2 linked regions of the Arabidopsis thaliana genome follow. The protein of the gene in region 1 interacts with the protein of each later gene in a pairwise test. Each region holds a gene or a part of one and is shown on either strand. Other genes may lie near its edges.

Region 1 (8,153 bases):
GAAAAAAATATGAAATACAACTTAGAGACAGCCGTTGCTAGGTTGCTTATAGGTAGAGTAACCGGTTATAGCCGGTGAGGTTAATTGGGGGATTAGGGCGCAGCAGAGCTAGAGGATTGGATTTTGGTTATTTTGGGACCTTGCAATTCGGGTTTGTGTAGTTCGGTGATTTTGTTATTTTTGGGTGATGGTGTGGGTATAATAGGAATGTTAGGAGAATTTAACTATCAATGTCATGTGCTACAATTAGTAAATTCGAGGCTTTTTATGATCTAGAAAGCATTTTGCCAGTTTTGTTTTATTTATTTATTGAACTGTTTTATTTCATGTATAGGCTATATTGGTAGATCGTAGATATGATTATGGATCATTTAAGTCGTTTGGTTCTTTAAGGTGGTTTTGTGATTTGTAATTTTTCTAGTTTAAAGTAAGTTTTCAACTTCTAAGAATCAAATAATTCCAATGAAAAAATCATTTCTCTCGTGTCGGTTCAAATTTAGTTTGTCAGTCGGACTTTGCTAATACTCTTTTGAATTTTGATAGGTAGGTAAACTTAAGATGACTATGTAGATGTGGATAATTTTTGGTGACATAGAATATGGTTATCTAACAACAAAGTGAAGCTTCAATCAAATTGGGCATTTGGTCTAGTGGTATGATTCTCGCTTAGGGTGCGAGAGGTCCGGAGTTCAATTCTCCGAATGCCCCCTTTGTTTTACACTATCTTTTTAATTAATCCTACGTACACTTTTACTTCCTTTCCAGTTTTCTTATCTTTTGGGCCCAAATATTGGCATTTTCACACATTTTAGTTTTAGCGTTTGTTATTGTCGGCCCATTATGTACCTACACGACCCAACTTCTCTCGTTTATGTTTCCCCACTCTCCGAGTCAAATTAACATTGACGCCAAAATATAACAATGAACTGGCATGGTGATGACATGGACTTTGGTCAAACATTGATGCAGTTTGGATGGTCCCCAAACATTGTCGCCTTCATCTCAGAGCTTGGCTCGAACCGCAAGGTGGCTTCGTCACACTCATAACTCATAACTCCTGTCGTTTTTTCTCTACAATCCGTGAGAGAAAATCGCGATCCGAAGTGTACTTCTTTCCTCTCTTTGACATCGTTAATAATATTTTTTCCAATCAAACCGCCAATATCTACTTCGGAAACATTAGCTGAAATCTTAAGAAGCTGAGGATTGAAGTATTTGAGATTGTAGTATCTGATCATATACAAGATTCAATTAGTTTTGAAAATACGAACGAATTAAGGAATTTAAAACGGGTTTAAAAAATAGTAGGAAATAGATTCATTACTTTTGTGGGGATGAGGTAGCAAGAGTGACATTCTTGTAAAGCAAGGAAGCTTCAAGGTCTCCTTGAAGACATATATACTTACCAGGAAGATCATCAGGGATCCTTATCGACAAATCCCATTTTGCATTAAGACGAGTCATTGTAATATTTTGCACCGTGAAATCCATTGAAGCTAACTCTATTTTCGGCACCGGGATTTTGCCAGAATTGTCTTTTATCATCAACAAAACCAGACCACAAATACCAAAGGCTATGAGAAAAGAAACGAAGATCCGCACTCCTATAGATAGTTCTTCGTCTGCCATTCTAAGTGATTGATTGAAGAGAAACGAGGAAACTATTTTGGAGTGCAAAAGGAAGATGAGACAGTTTAATAAAGATATAGTTGTTAAGGAAAGATAATTTTTAAGAAAATGAACTTTAACCTATACTTAATTATATGATATGTTATTAAAATTTAGTTAAAGATATAGTTGTTTTTAATTAATTAAAGTATTTCAAAACAATAATTAAGTATTTTCTTATTTTTTCATTTTTCTCTCTCTTTTTTAAAATAAATTTATCCTCCATATCTTATTTCAAAACAATAATCTCAAACTTGCTAACTCTCGTGATTGCAACAAATATCAATTAAATCATCAGATTTCACCATGTATAAAATCTAAAAGTTTTGAAATATTTAAGATAAAAATATAAAAGTTTGTAACTGTATTAGAAAAGAAATTTAGACAAATAAAGTAAAATAAAAACCATATATTAAAAGGGTTATAGAAAAAAAGTTGTAAAAGTTCTTTATCCTACAAAAAAAGTCTGGTTTTCAAAATTAATAACTCACAATTAAAGATGAAATGAGTAAACGCATCAGCTTGGATTTTAAAATCTGATAGCTTCTTCCCTGCATTCGACTTCTCTCTTGTTAGCATTGCATCTGATAGAGCTTTGGCTTCCACAGTTGAGCCACCTCAACACCTAGGCAATATTCTTTTGTTTGTATGGTTTGGTTCAAATTATCTTCTTGTACCGTGTCGGGTTTGTTGTCGTTTATTTGAGAATTTGTAATTCGCCGTTTGTTCTTTTAATTAGTGCAGCAACCTTTAACCCAAAAAAAAAGGTTTGGTACATTCTCACTAAGCATAATTATATTGTCTTAAGTAAATTGATAAATAATTTGTGTATTATCCATAATATTCAGTTTAAATAGTATAAAACAACTTGAAAAATTGAGTACTAGTTTTACCAGTTCAGCAACAAACTAATGATAATCCCCATTGAGTCAAATGGAAGCAGATAAAGTGGCTTTGAACCACAACTTGCATGGCTTCATTGTATACATAATTCATCATTCTTCATCCATAATGTGGAAGAAAGAGATGAAATTCCTCAAGCAAGTCTCGATGGCCTTGAAAAAGGATAGCCACCTACAAAATAATACATTACATTAAATCCAATACAAGAAAGATGGAAAAAGAAAAGGTAGTGAAACATATATATATATACACCTCCTGGTAGAGCTCAGCAACGCTCTTGTTTTCCTTTTTATGCGTTTTCAAAACCTCTAAAAATGAGTTGAATACATCATTGTTCTGAAATCTTGTCTACAGAAAAAATGATATTTAAGAGAAAAGTAAAAAAAAAAATTGTACAGAAAAGAGTAATATAATTTCTAGTAGGGCTGCAAAATAAACAGCAATAGAGAATACAAATGATATAAACCGAAATATTTACACCGAAACTAACCCTTAATTAAAACGATAAATCTGATATCCTAAATTTTAACACTAAAATCTAAACAAGTTTATTCATCTCTCTAAATTTAAATGACTAAACCTGTTTTTTATTTAGATTTTAGATCTTTTGGATCAAAATAATCATAATCAAACTCTAATTACTAGTATGATTTTGCCCAACTACCTTGACCTTGTTGACAAATTCATATGCTTCGTCAAAGTGAGCAAACTTCGAATTTGACGTAAGTTCGTCATCACTGAGTGTTATTTCAAACCCCGTTGGCAAGAATGTGTTGAAACCTAAGAGAAGCTCTGGTTGCCCTTTGAAGAGTTCTTTCACTTTTGATATGACGTCACATGTTTTAGCTCTACAATTAGTAAAAAAAAAAAAAAACAGTTTACCAAAACTTTATATAACTAAGAGCTGAAACTATTATGAGGGAAGAAGAAGAAAAAAAATACCTCTGACCTCTGAAATCCTTCATGATCGTAAGAAAACTATCATATATTTCACGATTATCTTGATATTTAGTTTTTACAAGATGGAGGAAATCAAGTGCATCGGTTGTAGTTAGCTTCTTATTTGCAACCATGGTTTTGAAACTGACAACTGGCAAGTGCTTCATTATCCAGAGGAAGAGAAAATAGATTAATGTTCGACTCCCAATATAAACAACTTTGAAAATCAATACAAGTCTTAAATCTCAATAAACGAATTCAAGATATATAAGTTCAAAGAAAAATAATCGAAATTATCCCAAAAATTCATACAACCAGCGCAGATCTAGCAATTAGAGTCATAGAAAACATTGCAAGGGAATTTACAGCTATCGACCAGAAGATTTGAATCTAACTTACTCCTCAGATTATGTCACACTATATTTTGATCTAAGAATTTCAGTATAGAAACAAGATAGGATCAAAGTGAAGAGGATCGATCAAAGTTCGCTAGGACACAAGTATTGATGGACACGTTACCTCACACGTAACAGGCTTACAGGAAGATACAAAAGACTTGACAATTGACACAAAGAAAGTCGTAAGGTTTTAGGTTTATAAATAACTACATGAGTCATATAAAGATACTTAATATCACGTACGTTAAACATAATCTTTTTGTTAACATAACGATTCGATTTTCTCTCCTTTATATGGATTTTTTACTCTTTTTCTTAATATACCAAATACTACTTTTATGAGTCTTATCCAATATTTATAGAAAGAAAAAAGTAGGCCTTCAGATTAAAAACAAAATTGATAAGTCCAAACCGAAGTTTGTGCAAATCGGTTCTAGTTTGGTTATTAGATACAAACCAATCGGTAGATTTGATTTCGAAATTTAATTATCGGTTCGGTACGTTAAACAGACTAACTAAATAAATTTTTTAAGTTGATGTAATGATTAACTTATGATATTGATGTAGTACCATATGTTTAAATAGAATCTTTTTAAAAAATAGTATCTTACTATGAGAGTATAATTATTAACGAAAATAATAATACATTAGAACAAAGTATATTCCATTGAAGCCAAAGGAAAAAAAAACAAAAGCGCATTGTGTTGTTTAAGTTCTTTCCTACGATATCAAAAGGCAAAAGAAGAAGATCCAACATATGCAAACTAAAACATAAAAATCATTATTGATGAAAATTTTACTTAAGTGTGAATATAGTGGCATATAGGAGCGGCGTTTTCAAACGCAGTTGCCTTCCTTTGAGAGCCAGGCTCAAACCGAACCGCAGTTTCATCACACGTATAGTTCATCTTCCTCCCAGATCTACAATCCGGAAGAAGCAACCTCGATCCGAACCGCATGTCTCTTCTTTCCTTTATATCGTCCATAATGTCTTTCACAACAACACTGTCCATATCTCCCTCAGAAGCAATTACCGATGAGGTATTAAGCAGCTGAGGCCAATTTGGTATCAGATTGTAACTGATAGAGCATAACACAAAAAAGTTCAAACAAAAATATATGAACAAACGAAATTAGTTAAAGAAAAAAAAAAAAAAAGAGTATTGAAATTTTTAAAAAGTGTAACCTGTCTAAGGATGAATTAGCAATGGTAACACCTTTGTAAAGTATGAAAGTCTGCAAATCTCCTTTGAGACACATATAGTAACCAGGAAGATCTGAAGGAAGCCTGATCACTAAATCCCATTTAACACTAAGACTAGTCTCGGTTAAATTAAGGACTGTGAAATCCATAGATGGTATTATAATATCCGGTGCATAGTTTTCTATACGTTGTTCTTTACGCCGTTTTTCACGTCGTTCTTGTGCTGATTCAGAGTAGGCATAAACGATAATTGCAGCGGTTGCGATAGCGATCAAAAAAACCAAGACACACGTGAACACATACTTTTTTTGTCGTGGTGTAAGTCTATCCCATAAAGTGGTGGATTTAGGAGCTATTATTTCTCCGTTTTCATAATCCATTGAAACCCAGAGAGAGACGGATAGAGAGATGTGTATATGCACCAGATTTATGTATCTTTTTTTTGTTAGGGTTATTAAAGAAAAGAGTTGGTATATTGTTCTTATAAGAAGATTTCGATAATTACATATCAAATTTTTTAAAAAGATTTCGATAATTACATATAAATTTTTAGATTTTGGTAAATAACTTTCTTTTCGCTAAAGATATTTTAGATTAAATCAAATAGTAATCTTAGCGTTAATTGGCTATGAATCGTCGGACAGAGAAAACTTCTCAAAGGATAGAAATAGGTTCTTTATGTTGGGCTTTAGATCGTTAATGGGCCATAAAACGTTAAGACTCGGGACTTTGGGAGTGCTCCAGCTTGTTTGGCTACGAATCAAAGAAGCAGGCTAGAACGAAAAATAAATCATATGATGATCAAACATAGTATATTAGTTTTATTATCGGCCAAGATGCTGTAATTTGAGATGTTTCTTAACAACTTTCTATTATCACCTCGCTACAATTTTACCATTCTTTACCGCACCAATTTTTTTTTTTAAATAGCCAAAACATTTATTTTTGTTTACCAATTCGTTCAATAGTGAAACTTGAGTGAAATTTTTATAAACTTTGTTTAGGGAGAAAGTATTAATTGTTAAAAATTCTAAATAATACAGAAAAAATGTTGGATATACGAATCATACCATGGATAATTTAGTAGCACCTTATATTATAATCTTCAGAATATTTTGTAGCATTAGAGAGATCAACTAAGAAAACAGTGTTGAATTCTATAATTAATATTTTGAAACACACATTAATTTGTTTAATTTTTTTCGTACCGCCGCATCTCAAACTAAAAGTAACCAGTTGTGTATACCAAAGTATGGTCTAGTCATGAAGATGACAATTAGAAGCAACTAATCAACACCTTAATCTTTTCTCGTACTTGATCTCGTATCCCAACATATATATTAATTATCTTTCTTTCCCTCACACACCACACGTACATGAATATGTATATAGTGTATATACTTTTTAAGTAATGTATGTCGAATTAAACTCCAAGAGAAAGATATTCGCGTGCTTTACAATAAGATATACTTATAAATTCTTACTTATAAATTCTTTTAAAGGACCTAAAAACTGTTTTTTTTTTTCAGGTTTTGGAATGCCTTTACTCTTATGAAAAGTAATTTCGAATTATCCGTACAATATAAATTAATAAAGTAAACTTATGGTTCTATGAAATGTTATTGAGATCGACGCTTATTGTAATTTATACGTAGGTTCTATGATATGTTCTTGAGATCCATGATTTCTAATGTACGCGCTGCAGTTACATAGGTTTTACCGATGAACAAATTTCTCATATTCATTGTTGTTCCCAGATTTTTATTTTGTATTTATGGCAATAAATTTTTTTAGTAAGATTTGCTTAGATTGACTCAACTCTTAACATAAATAACTTAAATGACACACGTTTGGTTTCAAAAACTGTAGTAAGCCATATCTTTGGTAAAAAGACGAAATAACCTTAATGATTAATTGTAATCAAATTAAAACAAAAAATAAAAAATAAAACAAATCTTTTATATTTTAAAGCACAAGTCACTCCACCAATAAAATTTTGACAAATCAGCAAAACCAAATTATTTTTCAACAGAATTATAAAATCAAAAAGGAAATCGTGGATAAAAAAGAAAACCAAAACCTATATTACATAATTAAAACAAAAACGAAAATCCGTGAGAACAAACTTTTTTTTAAATAATAATTTTGAACAAAATTTAGATAAAGAAGAATCTTCTTCACATATTTCGTTTTTGATTTTAAAAATACTAAAAAAAAACAATTTAATTTTGATATTGCATATTATAAATTGACTTGTTTTAGCTTACCAATAATATTTTGACATGTATCAATTCACAAATAATTGATTTGATGGTAGGAATAGAAGAAGAAAAAAAACGGTTATGAAAACCCTTGGAGAATTTATTATGACTAATAAAATTCATTAAAATTCAAATATGACAATATTATGTAAAAATCTGCCGACATTAATAAAAGTCTGTCGTGACGTTATGAAAATTTCTTTTTCAAAAAAAAAAAAAATTGAATCAAACCGGATTTAACCTACAATCAAACCGGAAAATTTTTACTTGAGGGCTAGTTAATAAATCTCATGTAACAAAAAAATTCGAAATTTTAAAAACAAATCTGCTAACAAAAAGTCTATTATTACTAAAAAGTTTATTCTAGTCATAAATAAATCGGCCATAACATTGATATGAGAAAATCTGTTATGTTTTAACACTGAAAAACAAAACTGTTATCACTAAAAATAAATCTGTTATCACTATGGGACTGTCTAGTAATTTTATTTTTTAACAAAAATCTGTTATAAAACACCAGATTTGTTAACAAGTTAATTAAATCTGTGATTACACAAAACAACTCTGTCATGACTATATAACATTTTTTTGGGTTAACAAATCTGTTATAACACAACAGATTTTTGGTTACAAATAGAAAATCTGCTGCTACCATAAGGAAAAATTTGCGGTATGGAAAATAAATCAGTGACAGATTTGGTTTCAACATTCTAAATTTTGAAATTTTAGAAAAATCTGTGGAGACTATATAAAACAAATCTGTCACGATAAACAAATCTG
Region 2 (7,577 bases), on another chromosome or scaffold:
TCATATTCCGTCCTGCAGGATTTACAGATATAAAAGACGTTACTTACAAACTGACTCGAAATCTCAGTGTAGGAGTTCCAAACTACTACTTCTTATTCCTAGTTTTATCAACACATTGAGCAAGTTAATAACCAGCTGCCACCTAGGAGAACAGAGATAAATGGGAAACGTAACATTTGGTAGAAAGTTGAGAAGCCATTAAACTCTCAATAAGTATAAGCAAACATACAGTTTCAGCTGTCGAATGGAGTCTCTTTCTTCTTTGTTGCTCTTTAAGTCATACCTGTGAGAGGTAAGTAGCATAAGGTTACAATGTGTCGAGATGATAAAGACTACAAATAACTTGCACAGGTTTCATTATCAAGTTAATGGAATGTAGGGCGACGGCTGGTGGAGTTTGGTATGGCGAAACTAGGACTAATCTTATAAATCTCTTGATAGAAAAACATTAAGGCAACTCTCTGATCTCCTAGTTAATGAATGCTTTACTGATGCACTGTTTATTCAACCTTAAACCTACATAACATCAATATCCCCAAAGAAAAAGCTAATATCAATAGACCATGCATGAGTATGAACATAAGGCCGAACAGAAAACCCCCAATGGTAGCCGAAAAAGATAAAACTCATAAAAGTATACAAAAAACAAGGAAAAGTGACAAGATGCTGATTCTTACACTCCAAGAAGGAACGGCCAAACTTCTGGTCTGATGCTTGGATGTACACCCTGAAACAAAAATAAAAATTAGTATATCAAAGTGTCAAAAGGTTATCAACTGCAGATTACAGCAGATTTTTTTCTTATTTAGCAACATACCCCACTACGAACTTTCTTCAGAAATTTGACACCTCCATCACTGAGTCGCCCTTCCTCTGTGAAAAAAGCATTCCATTGTTTAGGTTGAAGAACTCGCTTTCTTCTCCTTAGTGACCACGGTGATCCAATGCTTCCTCTGAAGAAGTAGATGAGCAGAAAATGAGCAACTTCGTCCAGTAAGTTTAGAAAGAAAAAAAATTACATAAAACCAAACCAAATGTAGTGATAAAAAGCTTTCTTTGAACAAATAAGACAGGCTAAATGGTACATGTTATGTCCTATATTCATATATGTTAAAAATAATTGAAAGTATCAATGGAGTTCTATCACACATCAGAAGACCTAAGACTCTTAACCACTTCATCACTACATACAGAAACAGTCCAAGAGATGCCAAGAATTAGAATAAGGACCAGAAGACAAAAGATCATATCAGGCTGCAATTATTCGATCCAACTCTTCATGGTATGCATATTTATGATGCAGAACTTAAACAAAATAGCTTCATTGCTTGGGTTGTAGAAAGAGTTATAACAACAAAAACAGATTTCTGAATTCGATGATAAGAGATTTAGCAACAAAAAGCTTATGTATCTGACAAAATTGCAAAAGAAGAAACACAAATACAAAGCTTGGGGAGTTGATTATCGAGAGTTCCTTTAGGAGTTTATACAAAGTTCATGAAGTTTCAGACTTCCACCTAAGGACCCTTCTAGAATCACTTTGTTTGTTCAATACTAACCAAGAGAGCATGTCATACAAAAAGAGACAACCCAGCAAACAACCTAAAAGTAAACATTAAACATTGGTTACATTTTCCCTCATTATACTATAAAAAGCCTTAGTGCTTCGAGCCTCAAAATCATTATACGCATCAGAGTCTATGAATACAGAATATGGCCAGGACTATGTTCAGCCTGAGAGTCTTACAAGTTCCATGACAAGAAGAGGTAGTGGAAGTACGAGTTAGCAGCTAACATTGGACCAAGAACTCAATCACAATAACCTAACTAACAGAGAATTCTTCGAACCTAAAGGCATGACGATCCAGCCTCGAATTGGTGAGGTAACAAAGAAGCAAGAACCAATCAAATCTATGGATACCAAATAACTACTTAACTAAGTAGTGAACAAGCATTGCTTCTTTGCTTTGAAGAAATCGATTAGAACATAAATCAGATCGTTTTTGTGTGTATACCTACGAGAGTAGACGGTGAAAGCGACGGCCACGGCCATGACGGTGACAGCGACAGCTAAACCAACATTGGAAGGAATAACGGCCGACGACCACAATCCACCGTAGTAGCCATTTCTACCAACGCCGCCGCCGCTGCTACCGTCGGCAAAGACGATCCATTTCCCGGCGATGATCGGGGAGAAGAAGACCTTCGTCAATCGTAGTCGTGGAAACATCATCCCAAAACTAGGGATTTTGCTCACCGAGATTTCTTCTTCTGATTCTCAGAGTAAAATCATAGCAATTTCCTGAGTTGAATTGGATGAAAATTGATTATTGAAAAAGTCGAAGGTCGTTTATAGAAATTGGGCCCACTTTTTTAATGGGCCTTCATACAGTTGGGTCATTCTTTCTTCTTTCCCCCCCTCCCCTCCTCCCCCCCCCCCCCCAAAAAAAAGAATGGTTGTCATTTTATTTTTATTTTGTTAGTTTTTGGTTTTTGTTTTCGATTTTTGGCTTTTGCACTACATCTTTCTTTTAAAATTGTACAAAAAAAGAAGAAAAAAGAGACAAGTATCCTGAATTTTCTAAGAATCTCAAGTTGTATGAATTCTAGATTTGATTTAAGAATTGAAGGAACAAATTAAAAACCAGTTTCACTAAATGTAAGAAGTTGATGGTCTCATAAAAATTCCACTTGATGTTTTTCATGAATACTATGAGAAATGATGATTTTTCATGGTGGTATCGTCTATGATATTAGACCTTCTATTTGTTGTAGCTGACTTTATTAACAGATATGTGTATAGTCATAACCTCTTATGCTTATTGAGTTATTTAACATGAACCTCTCTTATGCATATAGTTATCTAACAAGAACCTCTCTTATGCATATAGTTATCTAACATGAACCTTCTCATTTTTAGTATCAACAACCTTCTCATTCTCAATATCAACAACTTTTTGCGTCAATGAAGACTTTTTTTTATCGTAATTATCGTAATTTGTTTGGAAATATTTTCAAAACAAAAAATCTTAATGATCACTTTGCAGTTTGCATTATAAAATAAAAATAAAATCAATCGAACGGCTGAGATTTCCAGGCAGAGGCAGTCAAAAGCGAGAGATCCTTCCAGCCAAGACGGAGGGTTCCATTCTCTTCAACCAAAGTATATCCATTCCACGGTAACATACCCAACAATAAACCCGCTTGTGTCGCCGGGTTACCCCGAAGCGAAACAGGTCTAAACCCGACCCGGCTCAGTTCTTCTTTCCACTTCATTCTCTTCCTTCTTCCTCCTCCGTGCGCCACAATGTTTCTTATCTCCGTCCCCAAAACAATCTGCTCCACCGTGAATCTCTCACCACTCTCTTCACCCAATCCATCTCCTAGCGCGTCAAACAACGCGCTATAATAATGCAAAGCCTCCACGAATCTTCCTAAAAAGCTTCCTCCATCGTCGTAGCTCAATTCTTGCTCCACCACCGTGATCAGATTCGGTTTCAGCCTCCGTAGAATCTCCAACGTCTCGAGATTGTTCCCTGTAACATCATATAACCGGTGCTGCATCCAATGAACCACCACAGCTTCTCCTTGTCTCGTTGCGAGTTGGCTCGGATCGATTAGGTTTCCGATTATGCCTTCAATTGGATGAAATTCGAAAGGGAGGTTTAACGATGATGCGAAATCGGCGAGTCTCCGGCCAGTTGAAGCGAGTAGATCGGAGGAGGAACCAAATCCGGTGATTCGAATTGATCGGAGTTTTCGAGGACGTGAAGCGAGGATGTGAAATAGAGCCGGCCATTGAAGACCTTGCATAACATCGAGATCGATGATATGAACGGAATCTTCTCCGTCAAGCGCCTGAAAAATGGCTTGATTCGCCGTGAAATGTGAGAATTTGATCAGAGGACTAACGGAGTTATAAGTCTGCAAGGCGGAGAAGATTTTCTGAGACTGAACAACAGTGAGTGGTTTCTCGGAGAGGGGAGAACACGCGCCGGAGAGGTAAGAGCTGATCACGCGCGTTTGTAGCGCTTGAGCGAAGTAAGCGACGACTCGCTCCGGCGAGGAACCGAACGGAGAACATATCTCGGAGATTTCGGATAAAAGTGTTGAAGCTTCACGGAGATGATCAGTAGCTACGTATTCGGCGCATTGGAGGAGTAAGCTAAGGAGTTTGATTGCGGCAGCACCGTCGTTTTCGAGTGTTTCTTCGGGGAATTCGATACGGCGTTTAGCGGAGGAAGGATCGTCGGAAGATGGGAGATCTCTGTCTATGCGTTTTGTAGTCATGGAGATTTTGTGAGAGTGGAATCATTGAAGAGAGAAGAAGAAGAAGCAGAAGATAGAAAAAAAAGTGGAGATTCGAAAAGAGAAAGGGTTCGAGAGAGTAATGACAGGAATTTTGAAGAGTGAAGACAAGATAGTATTTTGGATGGATCAGTTTCTTGAAAAGATTTTTATCTTTTTTGCAAAAGATTCAATGTTATAATCAAGTGCTCTTTGTGAAGATTACAGCTCCTTCGATTACTCTTTTTTTCTTTTCTTTTTTCTTTCTATTTACTTAAAACCATTTTTTTATTTGTGAAGATTAAAACCAACGAAACCAAGTGAACAAACCCAATTGGAAAAGATTTGGTGAACTCTCATGTTAATCGTTTATGTGTAGAGACTAGAGACATTAAAAATGTACCACTTAACCAGAGAGATTTAATTTGTCAGTTGTTTTAGTTGAATTTGATTTGTAAAACAGTTGTTTTAGTTGAATATAATTTCACACATTCATTCAAAAAAAAAAAAAAAAGGTCTCATGGATTGATACTTAACCAGAGAGATTCAGAACCATCTCCACCTTTTAAAATCAAAAGTTCAAAACAATAGACCCATTAGTTTAAGTAACCGTAAATGGACATGACTTAACTCCATTGAAAACCATATAAAAGCCCAAAGGCCCATTAATGACTACAACAAATTCAAAACTCGATTGTTAATTTTCTTTTGACCACTTTGACTTTGCGCCTGTGATCTTCTTCTCAAATCCATCCATGTACGCTCTCTGAACTTCTTCTTCTTCTTCTTCTTCTTCGTCGGTGGTCCTAGGGTTTCATCGTTCCCAGAAATTTCATCCAGTTGTGTCAATTGGAATTGATCTCTACATAAATTGTTTCCCTCAACCTCTATGTTTCCGTGATTCAAAACCCTAATTTGTGTGTGTTTTAATCGCGTTTCTAGTTATTCGGTGATGGATCAAACACAGAACACAATCGCCGGAATTGGTGAAATCAACGGTTCGATAAAAACCGAAATCAATGCAATTGCAACCGTCGACGATTCAAATGAGAAGCTGAACCAAATTATAAACTCGAATCAGAAAATTTTAGAACTCCTTCATCAATTAAAACTCACCGTCTCTTCTTTCACACCTGCTTCTCAGCTTCACCTCCTCCAACGCCTGTAACTTTTCTTCTTCTCTATTGATCCATTGTTTTGAGTATTGTGTGATTGAAATTTTGTCTCTATCTGCAGCAATTCTCTTGTGATGGAGCTTGATAATATGGCTAAGTTGTCTGATAAATGCAACATTCAAGTCCCCATTGAGGTTCTTAAGTGAGAACAAGTCCCTTTTTAGACTCTTTAGAGAATTTTTGTTGCTCTCTTATGTTTATATATCTTTGTTTGTTGTAGCTTGATTGATGATGGGAAGAACCCAGATGAGTTTACAAAAGATGTTCTTAATAAGAACTGCATTGCTAAAAATCAAGTTACAAAGGGAAAGAGTGATGCTTTTAAGGTGACTCCTTTTGCTCTACTGGTTCTCTCAATTTGGCCACTCATGATTTTAAAGTCGACATTGTTTGGTACAGGGTTTGAGAAAACATCTCTTGGAGGAGCTTGAACAGGCTTTTCCTGATGAAGTCGATCGGTATAGAGACATACGTGCTAGTTATGCTGCTGTAAGTTGTTGACGTTCCTTTGTTTCTCATCTGAGATAGTTTCTACAATAGTTAGTCAAGGTGATAAATTTATTTTCATTTGAATTCAGGAAGCAAAACGGTTGGCTCAAACGCAAAGTGTGTTACCAAATGGGGATGCTAAGGTCAAGAGTGAGCTATAAGAGCTATGAATCTTGCCTTTTAGAATAAAATTTTCAAGTAGATCAATGAGGATGTAAACGAACAAGCCTTCTTGGAATTTCTATAACATCCGTTGGTTCTTTTGCACTTGACTAATATAGTTTGAGAATTTCTCCTTAGCTTTCTGAGGTCATGACTCATGAGGCTGTTAAATAGTCACTCATAGGTTACAAATAGACTAGTCTCTTAGTTCTATCGATGGGTTTTGTACCTAGTATGTGATAGATTCCTATCAGAGACATAAGATTTGCTTTTTACTAGGACGATTAATCTTGGTTCTGTATAAGATAATCTTCTTGCCGAAAGAAGAAGTGATATGGCTTTGCATTGAGTTGGTTGCAATTTCAATTTTTGTCTTATCTCTGGTTAAAGGAAGCTTCTCATTATCTTTAGCTGTAGTAATGTTAACTACACAAGCATCGTGTTTAGATTGGCTTCTGTTTGACCACTCTCCAACTAGAGGGTGGTATTTATATATTGATGGTCTGTGTGTTTAAGCATTGTGTTACTATTTCCAATAGTTCTCATCACCGAAAACCATGCTCTCAAAGATATATTTCCTTTTCTCAACCATTCTTACAAACACATTTTGATAAATGTCTTTGATCACTTCCTTCACGCTTTTACTATTTCAACTACCAAGGGATCATACAGATTTGTAGTTTAATCAGATACTATGGCTCTGCTTCGTTTAATCAGACACTATGGCTCTGCTTTTATAGTCTCCATATCAATACTTGGTTCTCCTGCAGCTGCAGAAAACCAGTTTTCAGTGACACCATGTGAGCTGTTGTAAAGAAAGATGAAGGACGCGGTTCTGTCCATAGGGAGGAGGCTCAAGAGACTCGTAACCGGCATCCAACGTAATGCTTGGTGTTGGACCTGGCTCGTCTATTCTGAAACCATACAGCGACCTTTTGGGGATGCAGAGTCAGCTAGTGAGCTAAGTCCTGAAGAACTTTGAGTCTACCTCCAACATGAACAGCAAAAACTTCGAAACACAAATGAGTTTGGTGTGCCTCTGTTCCATTAAAAACTTAAAAACGCAAATGAGTTTTGGTGATATATGTTATGACAATCGAAATGATTAGTGAATATGATCAAAGAGTAATAATGTTACATATCTTAGTGGTAGAAAGTAGAAACCTATAACCAAGTGGTTTTGGTCTAATGGTAGCTTTCTATGACTTTTTAAAGATTTGTGTTTCATAGGATTTTCTAAAGGTTGCGAAGTTGATATTCCGATAAAAAGATGTATGAGTTTCGATCTAAAATTTTCCGAATATTACCTAAATAGATAAAAGATTATTGTATATCAATTTTAAATAATTTTTCTATGACTTCGTTAAACGAATTTGTTTTGCAATATTAGATGAAAGAATACTCATAAATCAAAAACGTAACTCCTTCTAAAGTATTTAACATTGCTTTCAAAATTTGTTTTAG

The links.
Region 2: the proteins of AT1G70030 (region 1) and AT5G41920 interact in a two-hybrid assay, tested with the Arabidopsis thaliana proteins (2 studies listed by BioGRID).

The regions. Positions count from the first base shown.
Region 1 is NC_003070.9:26,374,709-26,382,861, reverse strand, and holds AT1G70030 (Paired amphipathic helix (PAH2) superfamily protein), read right to left. Parts: upstream 4,222-8,153; 5' UTR 4,030-4,221; intron 4,007-4,029; exon of another isoform or gene 3,678-4,006; coding exon of another isoform or gene 3,645-3,677; coding exon 3,514-3,644; intron 3,420-3,513; coding exon 3,236-3,419; coding exon of another isoform or gene 3,206-3,235; exon of another isoform or gene 3,198-3,205; intron 2,920-3,197; coding exon 2,824-2,919; intron 2,743-2,823; coding exon 2,671-2,742; 3' UTR 2,483-2,670; downstream 1-2,482. Other genes in the region: AT1G70040 (transmembrane protein, putative (DUF1163)), read right to left, coding at 954-1,230, 1,325-1,629; AT1G70020 (transmembrane protein, putative (DUF1163)), read right to left, coding at 4,709-4,988, 5,095-5,492.
Region 2 is NC_003076.8:16,776,695-16,784,271, reverse strand, and holds AT5G41920 (GRAS family transcription factor), read right to left. Parts: upstream 4,630-7,577; 5' UTR 4,291-4,629; coding exon 3,073-4,290; 3' UTR 2,848-3,072; downstream 1-2,847. Other genes in the region: AT5G41940 (Ypt/Rab-GAP domain of gyp1p superfamily protein), read right to left, coding at 1-12, 230-283, 678-727, 818-953, 2,016-2,233; MED10A (Mediator complex, subunit Med10), read left to right, coding at 5,240-5,451, 5,524-5,604, 5,683-5,788, 5,862-5,951, 6,041-6,112; AT5G41908 (uncharacterized protein), read right to left, coding at 6,834-6,989. UniProt on the Arabidopsis thaliana protein: Probable transcription factor involved in plant development.